4 linked regions of the Drosophila melanogaster genome follow. The protein of the gene in region 3 interacts with the protein of the main gene of each other region in a pairwise test. Each region holds a gene or a part of one and is shown on either strand. Other genes may lie near its edges.

Region 1 (4,143 bases), on a different chromosome or scaffold from region 3:
GGAGCTCCCTACTGTGTCACTGAAGAGCTGCTTGAGCACTTCAAAATCGATGTTGTCTGTCATGGACGCACACCCATTGCGCTTGAGAATGGCAAGATCGATCCATATGCCGTTCCCAAGACGCGAGCCATCTTTGAGCTGATCGATTCCGGCAACGAGATGACCACGGAGCGCATCGTGGAGCGCATCATCTCGCACCGACTGGAATATGAGCGTCGCAATCAGGCCAAAGAAAAGAAGGAAATCGAAGCCTTTGAGGCACTTCAACGCCAAAAACAGACCCAAAAGGCCGGCTAGCCGGAACCAGATTCCGACCTCTCACACTAGACGGATGTTTTTTATTTTCTAGTTGCGTTCTTTTAGTTTGTTTTATTTAGTTTGTCTTGTTTAGTATGTCGTCCCCTGATGATGGCGCTTTAATTTTTTGTTGCGTAAAAAGCGAAGCGACGCTGCCTGAGGATTCAGCGCACCGCTCTCTCGATTTCTAGTACAATTTTAGAATATCTGCACATGCGCCTTAATGATATAAGGTTATACACATAATTATATATTTCTAACACATTAACGTAGAATATTTAAAATCTAAATTTTATGTATGTAAGCTCAAAATTTGTAAATTCCCTTTAAAGTACGATGTAAGTGTGAGGAACAACAAAATTGTACGAATAGCATGTTATCCAAACTGTTGCCGAATTGAAAAGCCTTGTACGACTTGTATGTATATATATTCAGCAACGGAAGTAGGATGCCTGGATCAGGAAGTAGCTGCTTTTATCAAATGTAATCTCTGATACTTTGTCCTAATTTATTAATGCATATAGTAAGTGCGAGTTCAAGTTTTATGTTTCCTTGTTTAATCTTAGACTTAAATACATGGCCAAAAATATTGCGAATTCCAAAAAAAAAAAAAACCGGAAGTTTTATATACTTGCCTCGCTAATCACTTTCAGTTCGACGGTTAGCGATTGCTGCCAAACATCTAAATCCATTAGTGGCCGGAGGTCATTCAAGCTGATGAGGATCACGTTGCTGTCGGTCTTGATGAACTCACTGCAGGATTGGTTCGACGACAGTGGCAGCATTGGACGAGCTTTTATCTGTCTGGTGTAGTAACGTGGCAGGTTGGCAGGTTGGACCAGCAGGCGCAGAGTGATGGCCACGCCGTGCAAAGGAGTAGCCACCCAGATGGCCAGGACTTCGTGTTTGACACGCTTCCTTTCCCACAGCACCGAGTGCATGGTGCGGCAGGCGAAGATCATAAGGGCGCTATGCTGCGAGAAGCGGCGGTACTCCACTGGCAGATGGGTGTTTCGGTGACATTTCAGAGGATTAAGGCCAGTGCGCCGATAGCCATAGACCCCCAGCAGGGTGTTGACATCTCTTTCCAGGCTACTAATATGACATGTTAGTGACACTCGCTTGCCCATTTCCAGTTCATAAAACGGAACTCCCATTCCCGGCAGATGGTCACTCAAATAGTGACCCAACAGAGCGCTGGGGTCAACCGAGCATAGGCATCCGTGACATGGGCATGCCACCAGGCGCAGTCGGCTCCACGGCGAATCGCTAGATGTGGTCGCAGTGCTCTTCCTGCTGCTGGACGGCTGCTCGGTCAGCGATTCGAAGTTCTGCAGTTTGAGGAGCAGCTGATCCTCGGGAGCTGGCGCGGCCACCGATGCCGGCAGTCTGTAGTTGGAAAAGTGTTTCGTGTACAGCAAATCTTGCATTTCCTGCAGGCGCTGCTTTCGCCTCTCCTGACGCTTTCGATTCCGGCTCAATCCATGGATGGGAGATTGATCTTTGCCGGAATCGGCGGCCTGGTTGGTACGCGAGGTAAATGGCGCAGTCATTGTGGTAGGTAATCAGGCTTGCCAAAACGACATAATTTTGATAAGAAACTAGACAGATAGACAGATACTAGCAACTTTTGAAAGTCTACTGTGTTGACAAGTAGATCCTTTTGATTTTATAATAGTTAAATATTTATTATTCAGTTGGGCCGAAATCCCGGCGGTACTGCAATACCGGGCCAACCCGCGACAGAGGTGGAGCAAGCCCCTAGCACTCCGTCTGATTCCAAAAATCAGTTTAACATTTGTTGTCCTCCAATGGAGGAACTATCAGATGTTAAGCTGATAAGAACAGATACTACACTTTGATCTTAGCCATAAGGCCGAGAAGCGATAACTTGAAACGGAAAACGAAAAGGGTCTCCATGAGCAAACGGCCAGAAGCAGTTGGGAATTGTAGCACACACAAGAATGAATTCGGGGTAGGTCAGGGATGATAGAACGTAGAGTACGGTAAAAGTGGGTCAGGTAAATAAAATCAAACGATTTACTAAAAATGCTTTTTAGAATTCGATGATAATATAAGATTAATTCAAGTAAGCTACACATTTTTCATTTAAAGGCATCACTTAAAACTTTATTATTACATTCCTTTCACTTAAAGTGCGTGGGTTAAAACACTTAGAACTGTGTAAATAAATATTTTTATATATTAGTAACGTTTTAAAATACATAATTTACTACCAGAAATAAGGCGAGGTATATTTCTTCTTGACTGGATCTCCTTTGTCCATCTATCTCCTGGAGGTCTTAGAGAGGTAGGGCTGGATATGAATTGAAATCCTGGCAAAGACTAAAATTTCAATGGCATGGGGTTTACGGTGGATTCGCAGCTGTGTATGGTGGGAAATGCCATATTATAAAACATTAATATATTATATTGAGATATCAACACCAGTAATGGGTTCTTTAGTACTGATATTCTTTATTCTAACACTGCCGTACTTCTCCTTTAGGTACTTTTGCACATTGGTATTGTACTTGCTTCGGGGATTAACTTCTGCTTTTTTCGCTGATGGACCGAAAGTTTCATTAATATTTTTTAAGGCAGTAGGTTGAGTGGAAGGCAAAAGGTCCGGTTGGAGTTCATCGATTTGTCCCTTCTTTCTTGAGCAGCCTGTTGATTGCAAGGAACTCTGCCGGGAATCCTTATCGAGCTCATCTAAGTAGGAGAAAAACAAGAATAAGTTAAAATTTGAGCACTAATTTTATTTGGCATTTTATTGCCTTTCTGTTTGAGCTCTTCCTTTTCCCGGTCACCAGCTATATTTGAATAGAGCTCCCGATTCCGCGATGAAATGGATTCCGCCTGATTGTCTAGATTTTCAGTATATGTGTTGCTGTTTAATCTCACGTCTTTATAATTTCTCGTGTGCATATACTCGCTGCCATTCGAATTGGATGTTTTAAATAAAGTGTAATTTTTATTTGATGGTTCATTGATAGCACTTAATGGATCCAGCACTATTTTACTTTCCCTTATAACTCCAGAACTTAGGGCGCTGATGGCGGTGGCTTCTTCACTGCCAGGTGACTGAACGGGCAAACTAGTGGGTTGCAAATAAGTGTGCTGGCCGGGATGGAACTGCTTGAATCTCTTAAATATTAGGCATGTTACCAACGAAAATAGAATCGACATGCTGAGAAAACCCATGGCTATAAGGCAGACTATTGCAAAGAAGTTGCTGTCGATGAGGGAAATCCTTTCCATATCCTTTTGCACCACCACACTTATGTGAACCGAATCCTTGCCACCGGGATTTTCCGCCAGACAGGTATAGACGCCCTCATCGCTCTTACGGGCATTAACTATCGTTAGACGTGACACAAAAACATCATGTCCGAATTTTCGAATCTTTGATTCATCCTCACGCAACAGTTCTATGTAGATGCGCTGCTTTTGCAGACTTTTCACCGGCTTGGAGCGGGATTCGTATACTTGATTGGTGTAATCCCAGGCAATAACCGTATTGGGAGATCCGTGGACGCGACATATAAGCGTTACGTTCTCCTTGGAAGTGTTGATGGAAGTACTGAGTGTTGGATACACAATCTTCGGCTTGCAGGCAAACGCCTCCGGCTGATCCTCGATCCACAGACGACCACGTAACTGCAAAGGATAATGGCAGGATGTGGGCGGTGTATACAGGTTCATGCCTATAACGAAGTCACGAAACATCTGAAGATCGCATGTGCAGTTCCAAGGATTCTCGACCAGCGATAATGCTGTGAGCTTAGTCAAGTCCTGGAAACTCTCCACTCTCAGTTTGGTCAGCTCATTGTTGTCCAGATA
Region 2 (3,953 bases), on a different chromosome or scaffold from region 3:
GGACCGGACCATCATCACCATCAACAGCGACCGATCGGCGTGAACAGAAAACCAAATCAGTTTTATGTGCACTTCAGAAACACTCATTCCAAACCCATTCCCCATAGGCACCCCCCATCCCATAACTATTTATTCTTTGGTTATTTATTGAGATCCCACAATCCGCCACTTTCAAATGGTTTCCTACTTTACCACTACGCTCTATCCTTCATATGTTTCCCTAGTTTTAGGCAAAGCGAAATTGAATTGTCAGACTTGTTAAGTTTCAGTTATACCTACGCGGGATTTGAGGCCATCTGAACGAACAGATTAGCCTCGAATGTTACAATATGCAAGTTAATAATATCGAGAAAATAAACACAAACGAAGTAATGAAGCGGCAAACATGGAAAGGCAGAAAATCGTTTACAATAAGTTAATATAGCAAATGTATATATTAAATTATTTATTTATTACTTTATTTGATAGCTGCGAAATAATAAAAAGTTTACTTTTATTAAGCGACAAGTGTTTTAATGCGTTCTAATAGTACCTCTGATTATCGGAGCTTGGGAACGACTGATAAGGAAACGCAAACAAAGCTAATGCAAACTTTATCAGTGTGATGAAATGTTTGTGTGGGGGGCTTTGATAACAGCCCTTGTGTTGGCCGTGACTGGAAGTTTTGGTATAAACAAAACAAGTTTGGCAAAACGAATGAATAGAATAAAGAATAATATGGTTCGCATTGTCATACAAGCGAGGCAAATAGGAATATAAAATACGATCATCTTGAATTTGCTAACTAATGATCATAAACCTGTGTTCAAAAGTATACTACACACTTTTATTAGAACTATGATGCCGAGGAAAATCTTTGCGTGTGCCTGTTTATTTGCCGAGCACAACTTCGAGATCATGAATACACGCAGAAAAACACTTTTTAGCTGAGATATTTAAAAAACAAGAATGACCGATTTAAAATCGGCTAGTTTTGCCAATAGAATTAAAAAGGCAAATGAATTATTGGTTAAAAATGATATCTACGCTGGATGCTTTCCTCCACAGTTTCAATAAAACCAAGAGAAGTACGAAAATACATGTAAATTTATTGCAACACACTTATTTACATATTGATCTAATCCCTTTGAGCTTAAACACTTTAAAAACAACAGCGGACGCTAATCCGCAACTGGAATCGGATTAATGCGCGCATCCATTATAGCCGCCTGAGGTTTGTGTCCCTGGGACAATACATACGATTTCGTTCAAAAATATTGACTACATCTAGGTTGAACTAAAGCGAATTAGCACTCAAATTTGTAACAATTGATAACAGTGGTGGTGTCTATCTACGCGGCACGTGCGTCATTGATGGTGGAGGGCACATGTACCTCCAGGCCCTCCATATCCTTGGACAGGGTGATCTGGCAGCCCAGCCGCGAGGTGTCCGTCAGTTCGTACGCCAAATCCAGCATGTCCAGCTCCTCATCACCGGGTTTGTCGGGCAGTTTCTCGAAATCGCTGGTCTTGAAGATCAGGTGGCAGGTGGAGCAGGTCAGCGTGCCCTCACAGGCCCCGAAACCATCCAGATCCACATTGTTGTTGACCACCACGTCCAGCAGGGAGTCACCCACTTTTCCGGACGTCTTAATCTTGTCCCCATTGGCACGCACGAAGGTTATGTTAACACTGCAATAGCGAGATTGGTCAATGTTTACGCTGCTCTGGCGGTGTGGAGCTACCATTGTAGTGCTCGTGGGGTGGAGAAGATACTCACACATCTTTCGTTTTCAGGGCCAATCCCGTCGAGAAAGTACGCGTTGCGATCGGCGATCGCAAATTGAGGCTGCGTAGCGCCAATCTGGAGGCAGCTCTGCATGAGTTTATGACTAGCATTCTGGTTAGGATTCCTTTGCAATCTCTTACTATAACTGACAACACGCACCCACTCGTGTCGCTGCGATCGGTTGTTAAATAATAAGGAAATCAATTAAATTTTGTTAAACGTGAAGTTGTGTGTGACCGTATTGGACTTTCTGAAAAAGACGTCGTGCCTTTAACGTACTAAAAAACAACAACAAACTGCATAAGCAGTAATTTTAAAGTTAAACATTTAAATGTTTGCACAAATTATTGCACAAAATATTTAATTAACAGCAACTTTCTTTTTATAACGGAGTTAATTTGTGTTACACAAAAAGTATATGTTACTGCTGCAGTTCAGGTGTGAACACACTAAATACTGAAACAGGGTTGCTACAGCGAGTGAAGAAACCCTGTATTCACCTGCAGACAGACAACCCTGTGCGTCAAAACAAGAAGATTTAAGAGTGGAATAAATTTAATTACGTTTTAAAACCTAAACAATGGGCGTGTTGGACAATATTGCGTTGCATTTCACGGGGGATGCGTCCAGGAACAGGAACACCTCCATAATAGCCGGACTTCTGGTAGGCTAACACCCGCAAACAAAGAGCCGCCCGCCTGACAGTGCAACTTTTTCTCCTTAGTTTTTCGCAGGATGGTGGGTTCTAATCGATGCCATGTCCATCGACGGCAAGCACCAGATTACCACAGGACACGTCTTCATCGGCATCTTCGGGACCATCAGCTTCTGCATGGTGAACGCAGTGAAGGGAGAACATGTAACACACACTTATCATTGGGCTTAACAAGTGACTCACTTCTTTTGTTTGTGCGCAGATTTCTGATGAGAACTCATCGGAGTCCGGCGCCAGGATAGCGAAGATCTGGCTGCTTGTGGGCTTCCTAATGGGTTTTGCCTCCATCATTGCCGCCATCTGGGTGATGATCGACGACTTCATCAACAATGGTGAGAAATAAACAGATATTTAAGGATTCCTTAGCTGAATTGCACCCACTTATCGTTTTTCAGAAAAGAAGGATGGCTGGTTTGGCGTGGCTCTGCTGATGCAAAACGTCTTCATCCTGTTCGCCAGTTTGGTCTACAAGTTTGGACGCAACGAGGAAGAGTGGAATGAGTAAAGCTTCCATTCAAATTATTGCACAAGGGAACGCAGCTTTTAGTATCTAGACTCATTACGTACATAATCAGGAGTCCAAGGAGTTTATGCTTGAGGCCGAGGACACCATCACTCGCAAATCCTCACCCCACACATTGAAGCGTAAAATGTCCAACTCTGCTACTGTTCATATTCGAAAAAATCGTCGAGTCTGTACGGATTTCCCTCACTATTTCCGACATTCTGCCGCTTTGAATCGGAAAAGGGCGCAGAGCAGGGCCAATAATCTCATTTATATTTAACAAAATAAACGACAAGTCACTTGCGTAAGGCCACCTTTGAGCTGTACTTTATTTTCAGGCAGAGAGCGTTGTGAGAAGCAACAGGACGATCAACCCAAGCCGCCCGCTGCCCCGACTACATCTACAAGGATAGCGACCGTTAAGAGAAATGGTTTAATAGCTGGTCAAACTTGTGCATCGTACGCGTCAATGGGACACTCGTGCTCGTTTTGCAGGCACCACTGCGGCTGCATGGCCTCTGCGCCCAGACCATTGTCCACCAGTCGCTGGCGGTGGAGCAGCAGACGTGACTCCGCCTGGCGCCAACCTTCGGCAGGATTTGACCAAAGTCGTTCGGCCAGGGCACTGGCCCTGGGCCAGAAGCGGTTGTCCAGTGTGTGCTCGTCGATCTGCTCTGACCAAATGGCTCCCTCCGCGCCCAATACATGATGCTCGTAGTCGCCGGCAATGGATTTCAAACTATTGTCGTACACCTTCTGCCAGCCAATGTAGGGGGAGCACCAGTTGTTTCCATCGGTCACCCAGCCAGCTCCGCCGCAATCCAAGTACAGGGCATCGTAGTTGGACACAATGATCTTGTAGCCCCGCTCCAGAATCTTCTTTACCTTCGGATCTACACCAGTGGTCCAGATCTGAATGATGTAACGCTCTGGGTTCAGATACTCGTCAATGAAGGGCTCCTCAG
Region 3 (5,589 bases):
CTATGCCGAACCTTGCGCAATCACCTGGACATCTACAGGGATATTTACCAGGACTCTGACATTGATATTCAGCGCATTCTGCGCTGCAAGACGATCAAAGAGTTCGACGCGCTTTTTACGGCTAAGCAGTTCGGATATGCCCATGTGAATGACTATTACTCGGATGCCACGTTGCACAACAAACTCGATCACATTTCGGTGCCGCTGCTTTGCCTGAGCGCCGCCGATGATCCGTTCCAGCCACTGGATGCCATTCCCATCAAGGCGGCCAACCAGTGCACCCATGTGGCCATCGTGATTACGGCTCGTGGCGGGCACATCGGCTTCCTCGAGGGCTGGTGGCCGTCCACCAAAGACCAGTACATGGGCCGCCTCTTCACGGAGTACTTCACCAAGGCGCTGTTCGACGAGGATGGCGAGTTCCAGCACACGGCCAACAAGATGCACGAGCGATTCTTGGCCAAGCAGACGGTGGCGCTGGCCTCCTCGTCACCGGTGCTGTTCGCCAAGAAGATCGACGCCGATCAGTTGGACCACAAGGTCAAGCTGATGTGAAGCTGGTCGGTCGGTCGGTCGGTCGGTCGGTCCGCTAGTCTAGTTCAGTTTTTGTCCAGTTGAACACGTAGATATACGAGAATGTTTGTATTCCGATAGATTGCCGTCGGCGAAGACTCTTGTACACATGTGATATGAAACGTTGATCAAAATCCAAAGTGTTGTTATACTTATATACAGCGAACAGGGAACCAAATTATCAGTCAGTCAATATGCATAGTTGCTTAAATTACTCTTAGATCGTGACTTTAGTGACATATCAGGTTGAAATTGCAAATAAGCTGTACGATTCGTAGTAAATTCAAATACAAATTACAAATTATGACACAATGCAATAATCTTATATTTTTACAAGTTCCGTATATTTATAACTAATAAAAATACAACGCTTAATAGAGAGAAAACTAAAACACTTTTACTCATAATAAGGTAAATTTGACAAGCGGGACGTGGTATCCCTCATAAAAACCATGTTCCTACAGCTAAAATACCAATTGCGAGTTGCCTAAATGGGCTTGTACAGCAGCGTGGTGACGTACTTCTTGCGATACCTGTGCGTGGCACTCAGGACCATGACGCCATCCTTGATAGACAGGGCGTACAAGTGGTTAAGCATCACGTGGTTGGGTTCCGGCAGCAGAGTGGGTTCACACTGAAACAGAATAGGGTAAGGTTACGGTCGGTAGCTCTCGAGACAGCGACAATACCCACCGATAGCGGTGTATCCTTGTTGAGGATGACCTGGAGCAGATGGGGCGGCAGAACGGGCGGGCCAGATACCTTCTCCCAGGGCTTCACCTGCGGCACCTCCTGCGAGTACTCCTTCTCCGCATAGTTGGTCACGTTCTCGCTGTCTTTGGCTAGGGCCTGGAACACCTCGAAATCGGATTCTCGCACGGACACTAAGTTATTTCTCTGTCCCTCGGCGTTCTCCACGCTTTTCTAAAATAGCAAACCGATAAGCTATAATCAAATTGTCTGTAACAATAGTTTGGGCAATTGGGACAATATCTGCAGGCCTCGGGTTGAGTTCAATAAAACTCATGAAACTTGATAGCTGAGTTTGCGATAAAACAAAAATTGGGCAATACTTCATGAAAATGTGGCTGGGCAATGACTGCTTTCTATAATTAATAACGTACTGTTGCTACTTGTTTCGAGCAATTTTGAATTATATACAACAATTTGGCTTGCTACATATATATATAATACAAAAATTTGTTCAATGGTTTGCTTTCGTTTTGCTTACTAATTTAAATGTCAGATAAACTACATTATTTATTAGTCATTAAAACCATTATGGTTTAAATACGTGAGCTTCGTGAACTATTCTTAATAAAGATTTAAAGTCTGTGCATTTAGTAATTCATTTCTGATTGCTTTTCGTCTTCATGCAATTCTGCAACTATTTTAACATTGCGAAGTAGGTCATATATTCTATCACAGTCCTGAACTTTGTTATCCAGAAAAATATTTTATCTAAGAAAACGTTACTATTCCCTTAAATCTTTTCTATAGTTCAAATTGTTCGCCTGATAGCAATGTTCAATGGTCACTTAGATAAACTGTGTCCACAAAACTAGCGACATCCAACCGGATTTAGTAGTAATCTACAAATGGGTTTTATCGCAGTTTGCTCCCTTAAACTTGTAACTTTAATTGCATTTGTTATTTGCGAAGCATTTGAACGGGGTTCCTCAAAAAAAAAACAAAAAAAAAGCTAAAGCCGGATGAGCATCTCTGAACCCAATTGAAATCCACTACGATTACTGGGAGACTTCGTTTTGTTTACGGCGATTACACAACCCGGGGCGAAAATCGGTAACTGCGTCATTCGGGCGCCCGAATCAAAAACACTGAATAGCCTGCTGCATATATTGATTTTCCGCCCAACTGACCAGCTTGGGATCGTGCTTCCACTCGCCGTCCACGCAGAACTTGTACTGATGGTCGCCCTCCGGCAGATCTATGATGGTCACGAAGTTCTGATGGCTGCGCACCATGGCCATGGGCTTCCAATCGGAGAATGTGCCCGAGATGGTGACGTTCTTGCCGCCGCCGTCCCACCGCAGAACTGTGGGCAGTGCCGTCTTCCGGATGTCGTCCTCATCGCCGGTTAACTGAGATCCAGTCGCTGGCTCCGCTCCTACCGCTGCCTCCTCCTCCTCCTCGTTGTTGTCCATGCTGGAGTGGTCTCGGGTAACAGCTGATGTCGCGTCGTCGTGTGCGGTGCCTCGTCTAGTGGATCCAGTTCCAGTTCCCGTGTAGTACGGGTCGTCGTCTTCTTGCGACGAGCCCTCGTTCAAGACTGCCGTATGTTTTTTGTCGAACGAGAAAGCTTGGCCTCCGCCGCCTCCTCCTCCACCCCCCGCAGCTCCCACCGCCCCCGCTGCAGCGCCCAGAGCTGCTGCGCCAGCACTCCCGCCCTGTCCCGCTCCTCCTCCACCAATCGAATCGCGGAAATGTGCGGGAGAGCTCGGCGTGGACAAGTCGGTCGACTTGTGGCGCTCGCGTTGCATGTGCACGGAGGAGCTGGCGTTGCCCATGCTTATTGCCGTACTCGCTGGCTCGTCGGCAGGTCACGGACCGAGTATAATGATTGGATTTGGACTGGGTTCGACTGCTCCCTTTGTTTGGCACTTTATACTTCGCTTTAAAATGGACTCGCGTTTTTCGTTGGATTACTCTAGTACTCTGATCACATCACCGTTCGTGGCTCGAAGTCTGTGTGTTGTATTTGGCATTTAGTAGGCAGAAAACTGCATTATTTAATCGTTTGTTTCGTAGAAAAATTGCTAATTATAAACATTTACATATATACACAGGCAGTATATTCGCAGTTCCAATTGGCGAGAGCACACGCAGGGTTGCTTTCCCGTGAGTTCAAAACAAAGAAGTTATCGGGCGACAGCACACAGTGTGCCGCCCTGGTCTTAGCAGCTGTGACCGTTATCGGAGCTGCCACTCGATTTGAATTTATAGTTAGGTTGAATGTTCTGAAAATTAAAGTGTCATGGGTTTCCAGCACCTTCAGAAAGTTAAGATTACGTGGAATTAGATTAAAGTGGCAGCCACTCATTAAAGATTTTTAAATTCATAGCAACATTCTTTCAATTCTTATCATTTCAAGACAATAGATTGCATCGGTGAATTGCTTGAGTTTAATCACTATCCCAAAGCTATCAACCAATTAATAAATAGGTTAATGAATCATACAATTTATCTATTTATTTATGAATTCAACAGAATTAATTCCACTGAATTATCGGCTGACAAATCCAGATTAAACGGGTAAAGAGTGCTTTCCTAGTCGACTATATTCCTGTAAATGCGTAAAACGAGCATTACAACAGCGGAAAACTGAGGGTGCAAAGTCCACGACAATCAACATGCATCGGAGCACAATAAAAAGGCAAAAGTGGAAAGGAAGACTAGGCAAGACCGAGAAGAGTGACAAAGAGCGAGGGCGGAAGTGCGGCGAGGACAAGGCTGATCTGCGATGAACACCAGGTAGAAGGTAAGTGTATCCACCGCACAGATTTAGCCAAAACAGTCCAAAACATATGTATGAAAGCAACTAAAAGAAACGGCGATCAAAACAAACAAATGTTTGGTACCAGTGTACCACAGATGTAGAAACCAGACGCTTTCCAGACTATGGCAGCACCCCAAGAAACTCTTGGAAATACTACTCATTGCTACACCGCACATATGACGTACACTTGGAGAAACAAGCACATTCCAAACAATGCGTATGTACCTAGTTATTTCATTACAAGGAATTGAATTTAATGTACCCAAAGTTAAGCAGTAGCATTTAGTATTTATGTTTTCTGGATATATTAACTGAATGAATAGGAAACTTGTACCTAAATCCATTTCAGATCCGTGCCATTTCTTCCAGTGCACGAGCGGCTTTCCCATGTGTGTGTGCTGCGTGGTAGCCACTCACACAGCGGCAAAACACGACGCCTTCGCATTTAAAATTGATTAAAACTAAAAACACTCGATGCCGACGCCGTGCCTTGTTTCGTTTTCAGTGCGATCGCAGACATTGTGCAAAACGGTTCACAGTTCTCTCCTCGCGACTGCAGGTGATCGAGTTTTTTTCGTTTGAGTGCACTAAAAAAAAACAGAGCAAGCGCAGCAACTGGAGTTGGAGTGAAGCCCCAGGAGTCACGTCCCTTTCGAAGTCGAGTGAACTAAGCATTTAAGGTAGGTCAGTTGGATGGTTGGCTACAATGGGTTGACCTCGCCCGGTTATTAGTCTCGGTTCACTTTGCATTTGGTGCTCTTCAAGGTCCGCAGCCCGCTTATCTGGCCACGTCCGACTAACCCATTGATCGGAGCCCAGAAGGCCCGGCGGAGTCCCAAACAACTTAACTATTTCCCATGGCTCCCGAGGGCGGCGCGTGTTTGCGCCGATTCTCGACCACGTTATCAGCGATCTGCTTAGCCAGTGAACTGTTCTGAACTGCTAATTGATAATATGTATGCGGCAACACCTACATATGTACATACGTATGTGTATACTTACATATTTAGATTCGAGTTGAAACTGCGTCGCATTTGCCACTTAGTTGCCGTTTTCCCAAAGCCTGTTTGATCAGCCTACTCTTCACACATACTCCCCTCCGGATGAAGCACAAAGAGCCTCCATCGGTGAAAAAAAAAAACAAGTATGAAGCTCCAAGATGGCCACTCCACCTGGAGCAGATACGATAATAATAGATGTATACCAAGAGCTTATCAATAGCCCGACTTGTTTTCCAACCGCACCTTAAATAAATTCAATTTGGATCGTACGACGGCCGGAGGAGAAGATCCCCGCACTTGGAAACAGCTAGAGGGGCACGAGCCCACCGAAAAAAACAAGATTTCAGACAAAATAAATAAATTATGGTGTCTTCGCATATATATTTTTAGCTTTATCAATTTCGGCCGTTTTTGCGGAGGCTCGACGCACATACACTCAGACGGCCAATCGGAACCAGATTTGTAGCGAGGGTCGCACCATGGATAGCGTCAAGTCGT
Region 4 (6,729 bases), on a different chromosome or scaffold from region 3:
AAGCCCTTCTCGCGAAAGGATAACCTGAATAAGCATAGGCGGTCAGCATTTATATACATCTAGTTAAATTCAACAGAGATTCATAAATATCCTTTCTTTCAGAATTCACACGCAGACATCAACCGAAACCTTATACTGTTGCGATGTTTGCAACAAAAACTTTGCCACCAAGTTGCACTACGAGAAGCATCGGGAGATGCATAAGAAAATTCGACCGGAAAGCGCGGCTCCGGGTGCAACTGCATCGCCTGCAGCAGCACCTGCGCTAACTCACGTTCGAAGCAATGGTCAGGTGCCCAATAAGGTGAGTCCGTAATACCATTCATATTTTAAAAGTGCTAATCCGACCTCTCATCGCATCCAAGGCGGTTTTCGAAATCAAACAAGAACGTTCTGCTCAGCAGACGCAAACACAGCAGCCACCGGCCCAGGTAATGCATGTTGTGACTACCCAGGATCTGGCCGGAAACACAATAACGATCACACAAGCTCCCGACTCCAATATGCCCGGATCTCTGGCCAATTACGTCCAGCTGGGCTTTTCTCAGTTCCAGAATCCCAGCGCATCAGTCGCAAAGTAATTAGTCCTTAAGCTCGAAAAGTGAATCCACCTTACCTCGTATCCTAGTCCGCGGTCTATTCCAACATCTGGTCGCCAGTTCCTTGTATTGTATAGTTTTCGGTAAATTTTCCTTTTAATTTTCTTTGTGCAATATTATTTATAGCAAATTTGAAGCGCGTTTTCACGTTTCTTTTATTTCCTTAACTTATTTTAGTGTTATATGTGTTATTCTTTTTATCAGTAAATCGCAAAAGTTTTATTAGCATAAGTCCCTAGAGCGTTTGTGTAAAGATTCCTATTTTAAGGATAATTGTAAGGCATTGTAAATATCTGTGTATCTATTATGTATGTACAAGCTGTAGCTGTAAACAATGGTAAAAATACCTTTTTTGGGTGAAGAAAATGATTCCATTGCAAAAATAAATATAATGTATAATTTATGGCAAAAAAATTAATGTGTATTTCGTTTGGTATTGCATAGGAGCCTTTAGTTTTGTAGCGCTATAAAGCAGATGGCAGGCCCCAATGTTTACGCAAATATTTTTGGTAAGACTCTTCTCGCTGAAAGTATGAATATCAGACGGTTATTTTATTCCAGGGGTCGGCCAGATTTCTGAAAGATTTTCGAAAGAGCACGTAATTCTAAATCTACCATGCGAACAAACGAAAAACAAATGCAAGCATGTTTCCCATCGGTTTCCGAACAAAAATTTATTAGCATTTAAGAATACCAATTCCAATGAATTTGTGTTTACGCATTTAATTTGTGGAAAACGCACTTGTCATGCGATTTTTAATACTTGGCGTGGTCTGTATACATATGTATGTAGGTATTACAGGTAAAGCTAACACTTACATTGTAGGTTTACAATCTGAATGGAAGACTTTAGCAAGCGCGAAACAGAAACTCAAGGTGTATTATACATAAAATTCTTTGGCCTTACAAATACGTTTGCTATCAACTACAAACAAAGAAACAATTAGCAACTGCAAAGGATAGCAATAGGACATAGCAGAGCTAAAGTGACGTCATAAGACAGATAGCACCGAGGTGAGTGATATGTGACTGACATATATATGTATGTATGTAGTCCGTGAATGTGTGTTTGTTAATGCTGATTTGGTTTATCAAACAATGGAATATTATCAAACTCTTACGGCATCATAAAGATATAAGTGGAAAACGCTGCAATCCAGCAATACTATTGAAAATGATATTGCCTTATGTTGCAAGAAATGGGGCATAAAACCTATTCAAATGCCAATTAAAATTTTGAGTACTTTTAAAATTTTAAACAATTTAACATAGAACGTAAAGAAAACAGGTGTTTCAATTAAATTTTTGAGATTTTTGCAAATAAATAAATATTGGTTTAATACTGTTAAAAAACCACAATCATCTTGATGGGAAAATGTTTCTTAAGCCCACGATCAACAAGAACTTGTAGTCAAATTATAATGATACTCAACGCATTAACAAGCGAAGGAGTGAAAGCGTGTTGCTACTGCAGCGAAGTGATTTAGATGGGTGCGGAATCCAACAAACTAATTAAAACTACAGGTGAGGGGATTAAGGTCGTGCGGTGTTAGGACTAAGGACGCCCGCCACCGAACTTGAATCTATGCGATTGAAGAAAGAATGCATTAAATAAGAGAACATTGCGGGCTACCTTGGGGATCATGGGATCTTTGGGATTCTTCTCCCGATCAGTTGTAGCTTAGGGCAAACTGGTTGACCTTCTGTACATCGCCCCACACCTGTACAGCCTGGATGTCGGACAGGGAGAAGAGAGTCTCGTACTCGGTTATGAAATTGTGGCCCGAATCCCTACCCTGGTACACCCGCATCATTGAATTTGCGTAGTCGAAGGCGAACTCAAGGCAAAAGGAGGACTCTGTGGATGAAAGTTGGAGCGCCTCGTCAATTTCGGTTATAATGCGGGCAAAGCTTTCTGTCATATTGGGGTTCTTATCGCTAGCTCCTGTACCGTCGAAGATGTTCAGGTACTTCTCCTGGTGCAGGCTGCTCCACTCGCCGTTCCGCTTATAATTCTCGATAATCGTCTGTGTGGGAATCACCACCTTGAAGTGGTATGTGATGTTGTCCGTGCAGTCCGGACTGTTGACAAAGTTCACCGAGAATCTGTAGCGGAGGTAAACATACAAATGCTTGTTAAAAAAATCAGATGTATATGTCTCACTTAGGTGCTAATGAACTAGCTACTAGCTAAAAATTAACTTAATACGTGCCTAGCGACATAGTCTTCACTATGCATTTGATCAAAGGCGGTAAATAGCAAAGTGTGAATGAAGTAAATATGATATGCATATTTTATATTCAATAAAATCACAAGCACTAGTAGTACCCTCGCTTAAAGCGATATAACTTATCACATATCAGTGCTAATGACGTCGTTATTTGATTGTTTGACCCCCTCAAGCGCTTAGTCATCAGAATTGTTTAAATGGCACATGCTGGTTCGGTGAGTTTTTTTCTTTCGTTTTTGGGGACCGGAGCTCCCAGACATTAATAGTGAGTGTGAGTAGGCGCGAAAACGTGCAGCGCATTCAAGGAACGGAATTGGAATTTTCAGCGATTTATTGTTAAAAATCCGTTAGTCAAGCTATGGAATTTCCAGTAAGTTATGCCCCTTATCGAAATACAAGAGCTACTAGTGTCACGGAATATTATCATGACACATTTAGGTAGCTATCACTAGAACCTTATCGATCTAAAGAACAGATAAGAAATGTATTGTCTTGATTTATCAATTGCGTTGAAATTGTTCAATTAGAAACCCGGATTCTTGAGTGATGTAACTGATGGTTCTGATTAATGGACATCATTTGACCATTCATTCATAAGCTGATTAACAACTTCCCACCCTCAAGCATACATAATTCATGGTATTATTCTTTGCCATCCAACTGGCTTGTTGTTTTCTTCATAGCCGGCATCTTCAGCGCGTGTCTGATTCAATTTTAGTCTGGTGATGTCATATACGATGGACTTGATACAGTAAAACCAGACGACTACGTATACATCTGGCAGAGATTTCTTTATGGTCCCATCACCACCGCCTTATCGCCCTAATAGATCATAAACTCATAAGAGGTCTTTGGAATTTATAAAAAACAAACATCATCTGGCAGAAGAAGTATAAATTATTTAAATTCATGAGCCCATTTGCATGTTTTTTGTGTGCGCCATAAATTGTTCGCGAGTTTGGTGAGTATTTCGTCTAATCGGGTCACATACGTAAACGATTTTAAGAACACTATATTTATATTTTCAGCACGCAAAGAGGCAATTTCTCCACCTCAGTTCGCGGGAAGTGGCTAATCGATTTTCTTAAAGTTCGCGGAATTTAAACGCGAAATATCAAAGGACTCACTGCTGGGGATCCTGGAGCAGGTTGCCGCTGATGGACAGCCGGGTTACTCGATCCGAGGTACTGGCATTGGTGGGCAGCACGGCAAAGAACTTCACATCAGGCATTTTAAACGATTTATTATAATGGGCTGCTTCTTTTCCGTTTTATTTTTAGCAAGGTGTGTAATTGCAAATTTTATCCGGATAATTGTAAATACGTTTGCTGTGGCAGTTGCCAACGGTTACAATAACTCCAAATAGCCGAGGGAGTAGTGAGCACTTGGACGACTTGGTCAATACTGTTGGCGATTACACAGATACGGTGCTATATTAAGGGACTGGAAGAGGATTAAGTCCAAGACTACGTCACGGGCAACGTGCAGTCGAGCATATTTGCTTAGCTTTAACTAATTTAAATAATTCCACGACGCGCAGTTCCGTTCGCATTCGCGCGTGATTGAAAACTGAGCAGGAGTGCCTCTGCGTAAAACGGAGCAGCTGAGCGATCCCCACACCTGTTAGCCAGTAAATTCCGGACCCCGATAGTATGACCATATCGGTTGTTTTCCAATTTGAAAACGTGGCGCTGCCCCGCCGATAAATGAGTACTTTTATCGATGCCTGACCTATCGGTGAACACCCATATCTACGGCCACCTAACGCTAACAATTCGGGGACAAAATCAAATCGCATGCAAAGAATTCAGTACAGTTAATTAAAGTACGCTCAAGCACAGTCGAAGTAATAACAAAATGAAGACGTGGTACATGGTGGTAGTGATCGGCTTCCTGGCGACGTTGGCCCAAACGTCGCTGGCCCTGAAAGAGGAGGACTGCGAAGGTATGTGATTGGCCACGTAAGTGGTTGAGATGTTCTGGAACAGATTTTCACCGGGCTCCATTCTTTCGTTCCGCAGTTTGCGTCAAGACGGTTAGGCGGTTCGCAGATTCGCTGGACGACTCCACCAAGAAGGACTACAAACAGATCGAAACGGCCTTCAAAAAGTTCTGCAAAGCGCAGAAAAACAAGGAACACAGATTCGTGAGTAGCCGGCAAACAAGTGCCGCCCCCTCTCCCTCACTTCCTATTCTCTGGGAAAAATGATACACGTATGCGTTTCTTCGTAGTGTTACTACCTCGGCGGTCTGGAAGAATCCGCCACGGGCATCCTCAACGAGCTGAGCAAACCCCTCAGTTGGTCCATGCCAGCTGAGAAGATCTGCGAGAAGCTGAAGAAGAAGGACGCACAAATCTGCGACCTTCGCTATGGTAAATATTTTAGTTAGGAACTATACATATATAGGAAGTGTGGGTATACAGAATTCAATATGAAGCACCTAGCATTTCTTGGCAAAAGGAAAGAATTCAGGAATACAATTTCGCATGTATGCTTTACTATTATATCATAGCTTGTTAAATTATTTTGTGGTAACTCGCATAAAATTCTACATTTTATGAGATAGGTCTGTTTGTAAAATGAATGTTAATGGTTTAGATTATTAGAAAACGTTAATCGTCATTTACTAAGAGTCAATTAATCTAGGGTGTCTATTAGAAACAAAAACTCTTAACTTGGCTTAACATTTAGCTTTTCTGTCGCTGCTCTTCGCCTTAATATACTTCTATAAACATTTATTTATGTGGATTGTTCATTGCAGAGAAACAAATCGATCTGAACAGCGTGGACCTGAAGAAGCTGAAGGTACGCGACCTGAAGAAAATCCTCAACGACTGGGACGAGAGCTGTGACGGTTGCCTGGAGAAGGGCGACTTCATCAAGCGTATCGAGGAGCTGAAGCCCAAGTACTCGCGCAGCGAGCTGTAGAGCGCAGTCAGTTACTTGTGTAGTTACATGGAACACGCCCACTTAGCTAAAACAACAACCACATGAAACGCCCCCTACACATCCATATTTTTAGTTAATTTACAATTTTGATAGACTTTGAGAGAATTGAATATAACTATATATGCCTAAAGATAAAACCTATATTTTGAAATAAAAAACAACAAACACACAAGACCTCGTCCTCTCAAACGGTTGATAAATAGTTTGTTTTTATTTTTGTTATTAGTTTTCGGTTTTTGAACTCCTCTTTCACAATTACAAGTATTACGTACAAATTACAACAGAAATTCACATAATATCTGGATTAAAGTTTTATTTAAATGTTAAATACATAATTCCATTGCACTTAATGCCACGGGCCGCGTAAATTCGATGTGAGCGAAGGGCTGGCTCGCCTCAACTAAATTATAATTATTAGTTAGACATAATCACTAAAAACGAACATAGGAAGCTAGGATGAAGATGTGTGGGTGGTGGATTCAGCTTCTTGAATGCAATTTCTGATGAATAGTGCTCCTGGAGATTCTAGCGACGGTACGGCTGCTTGTTGTAACGACCGCGCTCGTTCTCCTCGGACAGGTTGGCGTATTCACTATAGACCACGCACCAGCAATAGGTCATAATCGCTGAAAGATGGAGGAGGAACATTGGGTTAGGGCATGTGCGCGCAAAAGAGTGCTGTCATTTTATATTCTACATGAATTGCATCCGATTTTACACGATGTAATGTAAATTGACTTTTAACTCGTATGTGGTTCATTTTCGGTAAGCACTTAATTTTTATCAAATTTAATATGCAAATTTGTAAAACTTGAAAAATATCATTTTTCAAAAGTAAAAAAAAAGCGAGGAATATATGTATAAACCTGAAGCATTCACAATGTGATTCGGTTCTTTAACTTTTATACCGCTGAATTAATACAATTAAATTTGTTTGATTCATTTAAT

Evidence for each region.
Region 1: the proteins of alc (region 3) and CG15482 interact in a two-hybrid assay, tested with the Drosophila melanogaster proteins (one large-scale study listed by BioGRID).
Region 2: the proteins of alc (region 3) and Fdx2 interact in a two-hybrid assay, tested with the Drosophila melanogaster proteins (one large-scale study listed by BioGRID).
Region 4: the proteins of alc (region 3) and CG14879 interact in a two-hybrid assay, tested with the Drosophila melanogaster proteins (one large-scale study listed by BioGRID).

What each region holds. Positions count from the first base shown.
Region 1 is NT_033779.5:13,209,932-13,214,074, forward strand, and holds CG15482 (uncharacterized protein), read right to left. Parts: upstream 1,884-4,143; 5' UTR 1,851-1,883; coding exon 921-1,850; 3' UTR 842-920; downstream 1-841. Other genes in the region: Pect (phosphoethanolamine cytidylyltransferase), read left to right, coding at 1-297; kek4 (kekkon 4), read right to left, coding at 2,726-3,012, 3,078-4,143.
Region 2 is NT_037436.4:4,290,549-4,294,501, reverse strand, and holds Fdx2 (ferredoxin 2), read right to left. Parts: upstream 2,021-3,953; 5' UTR 1,879-2,020; coding exon 1,760-1,878; intron 1,672-1,759; coding exon 1,332-1,671; 3' UTR 1,070-1,331; downstream 1-1,069. Other genes in the region: CG15012 (uncharacterized protein), read left to right, coding at 2,349-2,432, 2,493-2,627, 2,686-2,815, 2,879-2,988; Hexo1 (hexosaminidase 1), read right to left, coding at 3,323-3,389, 3,452-3,953. UniProt on the Drosophila melanogaster protein: Required for ecdysteroidogenesis in the prothoracic gland which is necessary for larval to pupal transition.
Region 3 is NT_033778.4:9,134,499-9,140,087, forward strand, and holds alc (alicorn), read right to left. Parts: upstream 3,436-5,589; 5' UTR 3,102-3,435; coding exon 2,454-3,101; intron 1,498-2,453; coding exon 1,267-1,497; intron 1,208-1,266; coding exon 1,061-1,207; 3' UTR 877-1,060; downstream 1-876. Other genes in the region: Hydr1 (alpha/beta hydrolase 1), read left to right, coding at 1-555; CG8788 (uncharacterized protein), read left to right, coding at 5,571-5,589.
Region 4 is NT_033777.3:16,344,824-16,351,552, forward strand, and holds CG14879 (uncharacterized protein), read right to left. Parts: upstream 4,404-6,729; 5' UTR 4,062-4,403; coding exon 3,958-4,061; intron 2,706-3,957; coding exon 2,270-2,705; 3' UTR 2,233-2,269; exon of another isoform or gene 1,310-2,232; intron 1,176-1,309; 3' UTR 1,002-1,175; downstream 1-1,001. Other genes in the region: pad (poils au dos), read left to right, coding at 1-41, 103-304, 366-581; Manf (mesencephalic astrocyte-derived neurotrophic factor), read left to right, coding at 4,688-4,775, 4,852-4,976, 5,063-5,204, 5,594-5,760; CG10311 (uncharacterized protein), read right to left, coding at 6,307-6,407.